2 linked regions of the Daphnia pulex genome follow. The protein of the gene in region 1 binds, or shares a complex with, the protein of each later gene. Links are inferred from orthologs where the notes say so. Each region holds a gene or a part of one and is shown on either strand. Other genes may lie near its edges.

Region 1 (6,399 bases):
AAGTCGTTTTGACAAAATTTCTTGAAGATTTTCTTGCCCTTCAACAGAAAATCCCTAAAGTGTTGAAAAGAAAAAGATAAGTTACACATACAGACTAGGTGGGAACATAGAAAAGCTTACTCCGTCGGCCATCATGAAATGTACGCCTTCTCCGGTTTGAGCCATAACAAAACGTTGGAATTCACGGATGTTTTCCGGATTATACACATCTCCGTTTCCTTCAACTCCACCAACACCTAATATAAAAATGATTCACTATAACTGACTACTGATTTCAATTGATTGATCTGATTTTTTTTAAATTAAAATTATAACACTTTTCTTTACCATAATGGGGTTCAAAACATTCGCAAGGGGCGGCATGGAAATCTTCCAACTTGAAATCGTTGGAGCTCTTTAGAGTGAAGCCGAAACCCTTGGCTTCCCATTTTTTTCGCCACAGTATGTATTCAGAAAATCCTCCTGGGCCAGCGCAAACGTCAGCAAAATAAAGTAATTCGTTCGGACCAAGAACTGGGGTCTGTAAAGAATTTCACTCAAAATCACAAAGTAAAATTCTGCTTTACCAATGTACAAAACTTACCCCATCTTCGTTTCTAGGATCAGTAAACATAAAATCAAAAACAGCATCCATATTTGCCATCTTCATCGCCGCTCTGTTAAGAAAAAAAGCTCCCCGAATAGTTTCAAATGGATTAGAGCGGGTGCGTGCTTTCCTTAGTTCTTCTTCTTCCAACACATCAAATATCGACTTGAAAAGAGCAAAGAACATGAATGTAAATATTTAATAATGACATTAATCATCCTAAATTAAGTTACTTTGCACTGAAGAACTTGTTTTAAAATGTCGCTGCTACAAAATGTTGTCTCATCATCAATTGTTAATTTTTTGGTTCCCTCTTTTACCCAATTTTTTAACTCTGGCAAAGTAGGTGCAGGAGTGGAATCTAGATGAAGCCATGAAATCTCTTCTTCCACTACAACAGTCTAGAAGACAACAGAATGAATGAATGAAATAATCAAGATAAATGTAGACATTAACAACCTCTCTACTTGAGTCCCATTCAACATCTTCAGCTTCCAATCCTTTTATCTGCAAACCCAATCCTCTTCTTCCGCGTTGTTTAGAGACTTCGATGGGCTGTGTCATACCTTGGGATTTCTTACCAAGTCCAGTTCCTTTAGCCCAACCCATTTTAGCCTTTAAGTAGTTCAGAAATCTATTAGCAGCCACATAGTATGCACTGTAAGAATATTAAACTGACCATCATTGCTGTGGCTTTATGATTTATGACTGGAGCAGCAGCAGATTTAGGTTTGATGAGTGTTTTATGTACAGAAGGCATGATAGGCTGATCATCATCACTAGAATCAGAATCTTGACTACTGGATGGTGCATTAAACCCATATCCTCCATCAGCATTACTTTTGGATGGGCTAACAATGACAGTGCTACGTTCACATGTTTCAATGTCATTTAGTTTCTTTCTTGAGTTAACTTCTCCTGTATTATTATAATACTGTGTGTTTGGTTTTTTCAAAGGAGGTCTGTAACTATCATCATCTGAACTGGAATCTGTAGAAATTTTGCAGGAAATTACTTATATTATATATATATAACCCATTAGTTGCAAAACGGGTTCCACCAATTTATTCAAGCTAGGTTAATTATTGCTGAAGATAAACCAACTTTTTTCTATAAAAAAATTTAAACAGCGTCTCATACTAACCACTCAGTGATGTTATTTTTCCTTGCGAAGCCATTGTTTAGCGTTTTGTAGTTGTGTAGACTATTTGATGACTGACGTCGTTCCTAATAATATAACGTTTCCAAATTTTTAAGTTAATTCAAAAGCCAAAAGCTTCCAAAAGTTGATTTCCATGATTTATATATGACTCACCAGAATTAAACGTACGCATTGACATGTGGCTATAGAAGTCAAAATGCAAGCATCTTGAAAATACACAAAAAAAAATGTCTGACGAATGATTTAATAAAACGATCGAATGACCGAACGGAAGAAAGTAAACACCGCTCGTTCTTGCTCACGCTAGCATAATCTGATATCTGTAGCGATGTCTGCTACAGTCTGGGTCTTTCATTTTTATTGGCTGATATGAAAATATTTTGAGTTTAGTATCAGTACATAGAGGGCAGCAGATAAGGTGGGGTCAGCTGTTAGTGTGGTGGTATTATTGTGTAATGTAATGAGCTAATCAGCCAGCAGCTCTCTGCAGACTGCATATCCAAAACCTAAAGCAAGCCGGCCTGTCATAATTTCTTACCTGTTATTTTTATGCCTTGGGTTGGCGGTTTGAGACTTGAAGCGTTAAGACATTCTGACATCAGCTCGCGAAACGTCAAAAACTTACATTAACGCTATCCAATCCCCAACCATTCGATTTGCAGTTACAACCACAGACTAAGAGGGTAAAGACTACGATCAGGGATAGGGCTAAAGAGGGATGCTTGAAGCGATGCTCGTCCTATGCCGTATGGTGGCGCGTCGAGCACACAAAACGAAAGCCATTATTTTTCCTCTTTCCCTACTGATTAGAGTCTTCACACACCGTAAGTTTATAATTAAACCATTAACATATCAATAGTGATGTTTTGTGTAAATATAGCTTAGATATCTCCCATGTTGTGGGAATTTTTTTAAATTTCTATGTGATGTCTAGATACAATCTATAAATTCCTTTATTAAACCCCCTTTTTGCCCATTTTCAGGCCCAGGAAACAGCGTTTCACGATTTTCAGGCCCATTTCAGAAAATCTTGAAACGCTGTTTCCTGGGCCTGAAAATGGGCAAAAAGGGGGTTTAATAAAGGAATTTATGGATTGTATCTAGACATCACATAGAAATTTAAAAAAATTCCCACAACATGGGAGATATCTAAGCTATATTTACACAAAACATCACTATTGATATGTTAATGGTTCAATTATAAACTTACGGTGTGTGAAGACTCTAATCAGTAGGGAAAGAGGAAAAATAATGGCTTTCGTTTTGTGTGCTCGACGCGCCACCATACGGCATAGGACGAGCATCGCTTCAAGGGGTTTATAGCCGTTCGTGGTCTTTACCCTCTTAGTCTGTGGTTACAACTAAAGAAATGTATGTGCGGTATGTGTAATCACTAATCAGTTGGTGAACAGTGCCAATGAAAAACGTCAAAATGAGTAAAGAACTAAATGAAAACGATAAAAGAAAAAGAAACAATCTTCTTTCTCAATACTATGGGATAACAGAAGAAAAGGATGTAGAAAACCTTTTTGACGTGGATGGAAAGCACTTTAATGCTGATGCCTATGTTGACAAACTGGTTCAGGTAATCATATTCTATTTCTTATTTTGCCAAATAATAAAATAAAACTTTTATGTGCTTGGATGTTTTTCAATAGGAAACCAGCTTAAAGCAACTTATAGATAAAGAACAGGAACTTGTTCGTGAAATTCAATCACTTGATTCAGAAATGCAAACTTTGGTTTATGAAAATTATAATAAATTTATCCTTGCCACTGATACCATCCGCCAAATGAAAAGTGATTTCAAAACTATGGAAGATGAAATGGAGAAGTTAGTTCAAGACATGTCTCATATTGCAACATTTGCCAACAATATATCTTCAAATTTACAGGTTGGTGAAATATTTGAGTTTAGAGTTGATTAAATTTTTAATAATAATGACCCTGTCTTTTTAGGATCGGCGCCAACAAATAACAAAGCTTTCAAACATTCACGAACTGCTAAAAAATTTGCAATTTTTGTTTGATCTTCCCAACAAGCTGAAAACATGTGTAGAAGAAAAGAATTATTCATTGGTTTGTTTCATTGACATTATCTGTCTATATTTCCTGTATTAAACTATAATGTTTCTTGTTTAGGCTGTTAAGTATTATGCAAAATCTGAGCAAGTTCTTCAAGATTTTGGAGATCATCCTTCTTTTAGTGGAATCCAATCAGATTGCAAAGAAATTGTTGAAACACTCAGGAAATGCCTAAAGGTGCAATTCAGCAGAGCTGAGGTAAGCTGTAAAAAAAATATTATGTTGGAAAGTAAGATAATAAGAAACTAACCAAAATGTCTATTGTGGAATTTTACATGACATGTTCATGGAATTCATAGGTAACTTCCCAGGAACTAGAAGAATCTGCATCTCTTTTATGCAAACTAGGTGAATCTTCCACTGACCTTGCAAGAGAATTTCTTGAAATCAATAAAGTGAGGTTAGAAAAAGATTTGGAAGATCTATCCTCATATGTGTGGTCTGGTGAAAATAATGGAGAAGTGGTCCTCATATTCATTGAAAAATGCTGCAATACAGCATTGAATAACGTTGCTCTTACCATTGCAACCTTCAACAACATTTTCCCTTCAACCATATCGAAACATAATGAGTATGTTTTACTTTTTATTGATTTTATGGTTTAAATTTTTTGCGTTTTCATCATAATACGTTGAATTAACAGGGGGATGAATAGCATGGCCACGGATGTTATTAATCAACTTTGCCCAATAGGTAAGGAGCTATATATTTCACCCTAGAAATTAGCTCATGTCATAAAATTTCCTTTTCGTCCCTGTAGTGGAAAGTAAAATTGTCGAAATCATCGGATTCGAGATAAGTGAAGCCTGCTGTTTGTCAGTAGTTGCGGCTTTGGATAAATTTCATCGTCGTCTATTGGCCGTTCAGCGACTATTACTGGTGGATAAGCAATGGAGCTTCACTCTCATTACTGAAATTGCTCGAATAATTTCACATCGAACAGCCGACGCTCTTGTTATCAAATGGACAAGTGAACTACAAGGCTGGCGTGATTCCTGGAATAACGATAATCAGCCACACGGTTCGGTCAAATTTATTGAAGGGGCTCTCGTGGAACACATTCATCGTGCTTTTGTTGCTCTAACGGTATTATCGTAAGGTTCTGTGTCATTTTATACCCGTTAAAATTCAACATTTATTTTTTATTTAGGCCTTTGTAGGAAATCACGTTACTTTTTCTCAAGATTCTCAATTCCGTCAGACATTTGGTCGACGTTACGTACGGGAAGAAGTATTAGTACAGTCGTTGAGTAAACTTTCCACTATGTTAGCAAATCTGAGCAACGTAACGGGGAAAGATAGCGCGTCTCCGACTCTAATTCTTGTCCTCTCTCGGGTGGCAATCGATTTTAGTCAAAATTTGGCTCAATCCTTGGTAATTGAATTGAATTCAAACAAAATATCTCTTCAGAATTTTAACGTAAATTTGTGTGATTTGCAGTTGTCTTTAATAGAGGAACAGTTTGACATTCCAGTCGGTTTTCAAGGAGACCATCTGACTCCGATATCTGTTATAACTCTCGACTTCAAACAAACTTCACAGTCGCTTTTGCAAAGTTATGTTCAAAGTGAAAGTCACGTTCTCGTTCAGGTGAGTGTGTTTGCTAATGTTGGTTATGGGATAGTTATGCAATAGCGTTCACCGCTTTATTTTTGCTTGGAAGATGATTCGTAAGTCGATGGATTCTCGCGATTGGTTAACCGCTAGTGAACCTCGTGGCGTTAGACCTGTCATCAAGCGTGTGTTGGAAGAGATAAGTCGAGTAGATTCCCATGCAGCTCAACTGTACGAAGAAGGATCAAGAAAAGAAAGGAGCTCAGATTCTTCCCGCCGAACACATCACAGGTTTGAATTATTTCAAATGAATACGATTTACAAAGTTTTAGGATTATTTTTCTTTTTTTTTCTGTATTAATTACACTTAACAGTAGCTCCAGAATGCAACAAAAATCATCTTGGTCATCATTGGGTCCTTCTCAGCTGGACTCTTCATTACTGAATAATATACAGAAATTATTTTCTGAACGAATTGATTTGTCGGGAACCGTTGAGCCCAATAAAGGATCTGTCGTCATGGCCATTATTAAAATCTGCCTTAAGGTTTGAAAAATTAATTTTTCTGTATTATGCTTATTAACATTTCGTCTGGGCCTATTTAGGGATTCTTGGAATGTGTTCGTCTAAAGACATTTGGAAAGTATGGCATTCAGCAAATTCAAGTAGATTGCTACTACTTGCAACTTTTCTTGTGGCGATTCACCTTCGATGAGAAGTATTCCAGCGCTTAAATTTGTCAGTGATAATTAATCCTAAAGATGATTTATTAATTATTTTTGTTTTCCAGTTTGGTTCACAGTTTGCTGGACGAAATTTTGTCGAGTGCAGTCCAACGCTGCTTGGAACCTGTATTGATGGAGCCGGGCGTTGTGGAGCTCATCTGTGAACGTTAGAAGAGTAATTTAACAATTTCGTTTGTTTTCAAATCTTATAAATATATTTCTGGTTTTCACCAATTATGTCTGAATACACTGTGTATTTCTATCCTCAAGTATTTTTTTAAATTGT
Region 2 (6,225 bases), on another chromosome or scaffold:
TTATGCACTAACCTGAGCATGGTCATAGCTAAGTTTCACACACGAACGAATAATTGAGCGTCCAAACCATTCTTCCAAAATTTCGCCTTTGTCATTTACAATCCATTCAACGCTGAAAGCCAAGCGATCCTCTCCGGGGTTTAATGAACAAACGTGCTCGCACAATACGGACGGCAACATTGGAATCACCTTCAATTTTCAAAAACATTAAAACACTATAAATGTGATAACAATTAAATGCATTAACTCATACCCTGTCGACTAGATAGGTGCTGGTGGCTCGCCGAGATGCAATTCCGTCAAGAACAGTGTTGTCTTGAACAAAGAAGCTTACATCGGCAATATGAACGGAGACCCGATACAATCGTGTAATCCCATCATCAGCCATTTTGAGAAAACGACCAGAGACTGCGTCATCAAGATCACGAGCATCCGCTGGATCAATGGTGAAAATACACTGCTGTCTATTAAGGGGAAAAAAAAATTATAGCAAATTGAAAATGAGGATGAAATGTGTTAACTAACCTGAAGTCTCGACGCTTTTTAATTTCTTCTGTTGGGATACTCCATGGGAGTGAAGGCAGGTCATCGAAGACTTCTTGGGGAAAATCACCATAGTCAACCTCGTGTTCGAGTAGAAGAGCTATTGTCTCTGCTTCGATATCACCCGATTTACCAATAAAATAACAGAGCGATCTAGAGAAAGAAAATGAAACTATAAATCACAACGCTTAAAAATATGAAGTAATAAAATCCTTAATTACCCTAATGGATGATTGACATCTTCCCACGAATCTATACGAGCTAAATAGAGCATATTGGGTTGTAATAAGCAACTAGCGAGTTCTGGCGCAAACGGAATTTTCAAACGAGGGATACGGTGGTCTTTGGGTGCGAACAAAATCCAACTCGGTAATGGTCCGGATTGACCGTAAGGCCATTGTCTCAAACTGCCAATAGCACACCTTGAGTGCTTTAGCTCTTTGATGAATACAACCTGTCAATTAGAAGCAATAATTTAAAACATTTTAAAACACTTCATGAAAATGACGAAATTACCTTGGCAATTTTTCTTGGGGTATTGACAATATTTGGGTTCTGTTGACTATTTTCATCAATTGTTCCAGCCGTATTTATGTGTGATTTATTCTGTAAAACTACGCTTAAAGTTTCTACTTGAACGGTGGTAGTCTTCGTTAAAGAATCCTCAATTGTACATGATGCGCTTAATTGTGCGGTGAGATTTTCAACAATGACATTTTTCTTCTTTCTTGGCCTGCGAGTTCTTTTTCTCTGCTCTTCCGCAGGATTATCCAACTAAAGAAAGCAATGAGTTTCTAAGTTATTATCTTCAAGTACATAAAAAAAAATAAAGTATTTACGTTAGTTACATTTTCGGCCATTGTTGAAGGGGTTTTTAGACCGCTTTTGTCTTGCAATTCTGCACCAAGATTTAAATTTGAAACATTTTCCATCAATTTCTTCGGCTTTTTCCTATTTTTTGGTCCCAGGGTTTTCGCGCCCCTAACTTCACGTGAAGCGGCTAAATCTGCATCCACACACTGAACTTCCTTTTCAGTCACTTTTGAAATATTTTCTTTGAGTTCACTGGCTGCAGCCAAATTTTTTGGAGTAATAGGCTGTTCGTTTTGCTGAATGTTTGGTGAACTCGGACTCTCAGCAAAACTTTTTTCACATTCTTTGTTTGCAGTTTGTGTTGGCAGCATCTCACAAACAACAATATCTCCATTAAGTGCTCTGTTTCTGTGCAAAATTCCTTCAATCAGAAAATCTTCGGTTCCATCCTAATACCATTGAGATTTGTTCAGTTAGTTCTTTTGAATATCAAAACTTGTGAAAACAAATTTGCAAGCAATACTTACAGGTGCAGAAATGTATGCCTCTTTATAGTTTTTAGGATTGATTCTTAAAACACCCTATAAATACAACAAACACAGACAGTTAAAACATTACATCAATTAATTCTGAATATAACCAAAACCTACTTCAAAAAGGGACTCATTCCGTAATCCTTCTTCAACATCCTTTTGGTCCCAATAATTTTCAAAAGTTTTACTACGATTGGGTCTCTGTGGTGTGGAGTTTTTACCAATTGACTTTGCCATGATTAATTTCTTGTATGGGCAGATTATGTATAGAACTTATCATCAATGTAATTAAGAAAATGTAGGAATAAATGCAAATTGGCAGATCAGTATACAAATGTCAGTTATTGCTTTCCCTCTGTTGGAACCCTTATAAACTGGTTACTGACCAGTGCTAAAAATATTGAGTTAAAACCTTTGTCAGAGGTTTGAAAGTCATAATAAATCTCAACACTCGTCAGATTACAACCTGATTAACAGTTGACGAAAACTCTTCCACAAAATGTTTTACTTTCTTGGAAGCATGCAATGAGCAAAGATTCTCACTCTTGTCGTGCAAAAAATAGCCGTACTATCTAGACTTCAATCGTTGCTTCAAATTTGAGTAAAAAAAATAAAAGTTTCGAAATTCAGGGATATTCGGCTGACGCTAATATTTTCAAATGAGAAAGATAACTTTAATGGAAACCCTAATCTCTGGGAGATATTCACAATTTTTGCATCTTACTCTTGCACAATCTCTTTGACAACAAGCAGACGATATTGGTCGTCTGCAAACAGCTGAGAGATTTCGTCACGATTCCAGACAAGCCGCAATAACAAGTTTGTGTCAGATTTCGGTTAAAGCCGTTAAAGCTGATTAAAAACATTTAACAGCCATGGAAGATCATTGCGACTCTCAGATAAAAATGGATTTAAAAGTTAGTCTCAAGGACAGCATAATAAAAGAAGCTCTGAATTCGGGTGTAGATTTGAGACAGTATTCACAACAAGTAGAACAACAATTACAAGAGGTATACATTTTTGACATGTTATGAGTTCAGCTAACCAACTTCCTCTTTCCAGGTTGAACTAGTGTCTGTGCAAGATTATGTCAATCAGGGAACATCATTAGCACAGCTTCATTCACAGTTCACCCAATGTGATGTCGCTCTTGAAAGAATGGAAGTGCTTCTAAGTACCTTCAGATCTCAACTAGGTGGTTTAAGCAGTGATATTTTACAACTCCAGCACCAATCAGCTCAGTTGGGATTACGTTTGTCTAATCGACAGGCAGCTAGATCCTTGGCAGGACAAATAATTGATGATTTGGTAATTCCTGAAGCCCTGATAAGGTAAAATTACAAAGTACATCTATTTGTCTATGTGTTGTAATTTTTAAAAATTTAACATTCTTGAATAGACATCTACTTGAAACTCCAGTGACAGAGCCTTCGTTCTCTGAACAGTTGATAATACTTCAAGCAAAGTTGGCTTTGAGTGGTGATCACCATCAGAGGTGCAGTAGAGCTGCTCAAGTGAGTAGGCCTAACCATATAGTTTGAGTTTGTGATTTAAAAAAAATGTCTAATATTTTCTACCTAATATTTTATGCATTTTAAGGATGTGGTTCCTGTCCTAGGTGCATTAAGGATTAAGGTGGTTGAAAGACTTAGGCAGTTTCTGCTTTTGAAACTACAACAACTTAGAAGGCCACTTGCTAATTATCAACTACCACAGAATTCTCTTCTAAAACACAAGTAAGCCTCTGGGTTTTCTTTCTGGATTCCAAATACAATTCACATTTATGTTTTGTTTCACTAGGAATTTTTACCACTTTCTCATAACCCAAGAGCCTGAAATAGCTTATGAAGTGAGGCAAGACTATGTGCAGACAATGTCAAAGCTATATTTCTCTTATTTTAAGGTTCGTGTTTTGATTTAAGAAATAATAATAATTTGTTTGGATATAAATTATGATTTTTTCGTCTATATTCTCAATTGTTTCTTGTTCTAGAGCTACTCCACGCGATTACTGAAACTTGTGGATTCAAATAGTGTTAATAAAGATGATGTTCTTGCTTCCGAAGATGCATCGTTAGGTGCGGCTGCTGCTGCCGCCGCAAGGTCCTTGTTTGGAAGAGCCGCTCCTAGTGGGCGTAGTTCTAGCAGTAAATCTACGGTTTTTACCTTAGGTAACCCCAAAAATTCTTTCTTGCAATATATTTGCTTATTTTTTGCTGTCTTCTTTTTTTAAAATAATAGGAACTCGAATTGAAGTTGTTACAAACTTAGAAGCCCCTGTTCTAGTTCCTCACGCAGCTGCCACTGGTACCAGCGCTGGCCATAAAGGTGAAACGAAATATTCGTATGAAATCGTTTTCCGATCTCAACACTACGCATTGGCCGATAATGCTTGCCGCGAGTATTTGTTCCTCTGTGAATTTTTCCACGTTGAAAGAGCCCCTGCCATGGAGCTATTTCAAGAAGTAATGGGGAAGACCTGCACTATTTATATGGTAAGTTTACTATACACAATGCGCAGCATATTATTCCTTTCTAGCGTCATTTGTTTTTTTTTTCTTTTTAGAAATTTGTGGAAGAATATGTTTCGTCTTGTTATGACTCACTTGCCCTTTTTCTTTGCATCCAAATGGTCCAACGTTTGCAATATCTTTGCCACAAGAGAGCCGTTCCAGCTTTAGATTTTTATTACGAATCTCTCGTCTCCACGTTATGGCCTAGGTAATACTGTTAAATTTAAATGATTTGTTGACTTTTTTCTTTAATATTTGCCATATTTCTTAGATTTGAATATTTGGTACAAGCAAACATTCAGAGTGTCCGTGACTGCGATCCATCTAGACTTTATTCAAACATTGATACGCGACCACACTATGTATTTACCTTAAACATACTTTGATTAAATTTCTAAACTAACGAAAAAACATTAATAGGTAGTGCGACGATACGCCGAGTATACTTCAGCCATTTCTGCGATTCACGGTTAAACACTTTTTTTCCTATTGCATTAATTCTTGTGTCGTAATTTTCTTTATTTTGTATAAAAAGAGCATAACAGTATAACTTCAGCCATGGACTGGACTCCACGCCTACACCATTTACTTTCGACCATGCAAGAGGAGGTTGAAGGCTTCACGTTGCGCCTTGCTGCAGCCTTTACTAAACGAAAGGATCAATTAGTAGCCCTAATCAACAACTACGACCTGATGCTGAGTGTGATGACCGTAATATAACTAGATTTTAGTATTTTACCGAGTTTCTCAGCTTATGTATTAAAACTTGTTGTCTATTTATTAAGGAGCGCAACCGAGAAGAAAGTCGTGAAGCCGCTCGGTGTAAGGAATTGCTGTCTGCTAGAATTTCAGAATTTGTCGAAGAAATTCTTTTTTTCCATTTTGAGGGACTCGTCCGATTCGTCAAAGACTGCGAAGTCATGCTTACTCGAGGGCTTAACGAAGCGTTGCGGAACGAAGAACGTATGCATTTTTTAAAGTCTTTAATTTTATTATTAGTTTTGTCTCTCGATATATAGAATTGTTCCGTTTCTCTTTAATCGGCTTAAAGGTCGGGCCACGCAAACCATAAACGCTTTCATGGCTGGATGGAAGAAATCTTTGGACGAGATTAATAAAGAAATCTTAAATCTGTTTCCGAATTTCAAAAACGGAACCAACATTCTACAAGCGACGTTGACTCAACTCGTCGAATACTACCACCGTTTCCAAAAAATCCTAACCCAACATCCATTCCGCAACGTTCCTGCTCGTGCTGATTTGATTAACATTCATCAATTAATGGTAGAAGTCAGAAGGTACAAGCCAGCTTTCTAAATTTTAAAGATTTGAAGCCTGATTTGTTGAATACATGTATTAATATTAGTTAAAATGGGAATGACTCGTGAATATTGATCGCTGACTAGGTTAAAGGGAATTCATAATATTTAAAAAAAAACGTTCGTTATTTTAATGTTATCGATTTTAGAATTAAAGCTTGAATGGTTCTGAGTAATGTAGAACTTTCTTAAAGTTAATGAGACAGAAAGTGTGCTCTTGAAATGCCAGTAGAGTGCACGTTAGTAAACGTCACCAAAAACCGAACAGCAATCCTTATCAGGCGTACGTATAGATAAAATTCGTGCTTTGTATGCCGTGGGAGAAACGGGACGTGCAGTTTGGTCCTATACTCCTGGTACCGGTAGAGTTTAAGTTAAATTCTTTAAAGTCACTAGTTTTAGTACATAAATTCTCATTATCAGCCGAGGAACCGCAAATAACTAAAAGATGGGGTGTTGATTCAGTGCTTTAGTTATGCTATATAGAATACAAACTTATGTTAT

What was found.
Region 2: vacuolar protein sorting-associated protein 51 homolog (region 1) and vacuolar protein sorting-associated protein 52 homolog share a complex: the UniProt entries of both Homo sapiens proteins name them as parts of the endosome-associated retrograde protein (EARP) complex. The link is inferred for Daphnia pulex from reciprocal best matches to the Homo sapiens genes VPS51 and VPS52.

Annotation. Positions count from the first base shown.
Region 1 is NC_060021.1:634,960-641,358, reverse strand, and holds vacuolar protein sorting-associated protein 51 homolog, read left to right. Parts: upstream 1-2,212; 5' UTR 2,213-2,409; intron 2,410-3,102; 5' UTR 3,103-3,165; coding exon 3,166-3,333; intron 3,334-3,406; coding exon 3,407-3,643; intron 3,644-3,707; coding exon 3,708-3,827; intron 3,828-3,890; coding exon 3,891-4,031; intron 4,032-4,132; coding exon 4,133-4,404; intron 4,405-4,476; coding exon 4,477-4,526; intron 4,527-4,593; coding exon 4,594-4,919; intron 4,920-4,983; coding exon 4,984-5,424; intron 5,425-5,497; coding exon 5,498-5,679; intron 5,680-5,762; coding exon 5,763-5,934; intron 5,935-5,993; coding exon 5,994-6,106; intron 6,107-6,178; coding exon 6,179-6,284; 3' UTR 6,285-6,382; downstream 6,383-6,399. Other genes in the region: cap-specific mRNA (nucleoside-2'-O-)-methyltransferase 1-like, read right to left, coding at 1-54, 121-236, 328-520, 584-751, 820-987, 1,046-1,201, 1,266-1,576, 1,731-1,764. UniProt on the Homo sapiens protein: Acts as a component of the GARP complex that is involved in retrograde transport from early and late endosomes to the trans-Golgi network (TGN).
Region 2 is NC_060027.1:4,798,069-4,804,293, forward strand, and holds vacuolar protein sorting-associated protein 52 homolog, read left to right. Parts: upstream 1-2,748; 5' UTR 2,749-2,764; coding exon 2,765-2,899; intron 2,900-2,951; coding exon 2,952-3,220; intron 3,221-3,288; coding exon 3,289-3,403; intron 3,404-3,488; coding exon 3,489-3,625; intron 3,626-3,689; coding exon 3,690-3,792; intron 3,793-3,882; coding exon 3,883-4,060; intron 4,061-4,130; coding exon 4,131-4,384; intron 4,385-4,455; coding exon 4,456-4,610; intron 4,611-4,673; coding exon 4,674-4,764; intron 4,765-4,822; coding exon 4,823-4,871; intron 4,872-4,937; coding exon 4,938-5,113; intron 5,114-5,187; coding exon 5,188-5,365; intron 5,366-5,453; coding exon 5,454-5,719; 3' UTR 5,720-5,767; downstream 5,768-6,225. Other genes in the region: DIS3-like exonuclease 2, read right to left, coding at 13-189, 254-464, 526-696, 765-997, 1,060-1,317, 1,383-1,805, 1,884-1,937, 2,007-2,126. UniProt on the Homo sapiens protein: Acts as a component of the GARP complex that is involved in retrograde transport from early and late endosomes to the trans-Golgi network (TGN).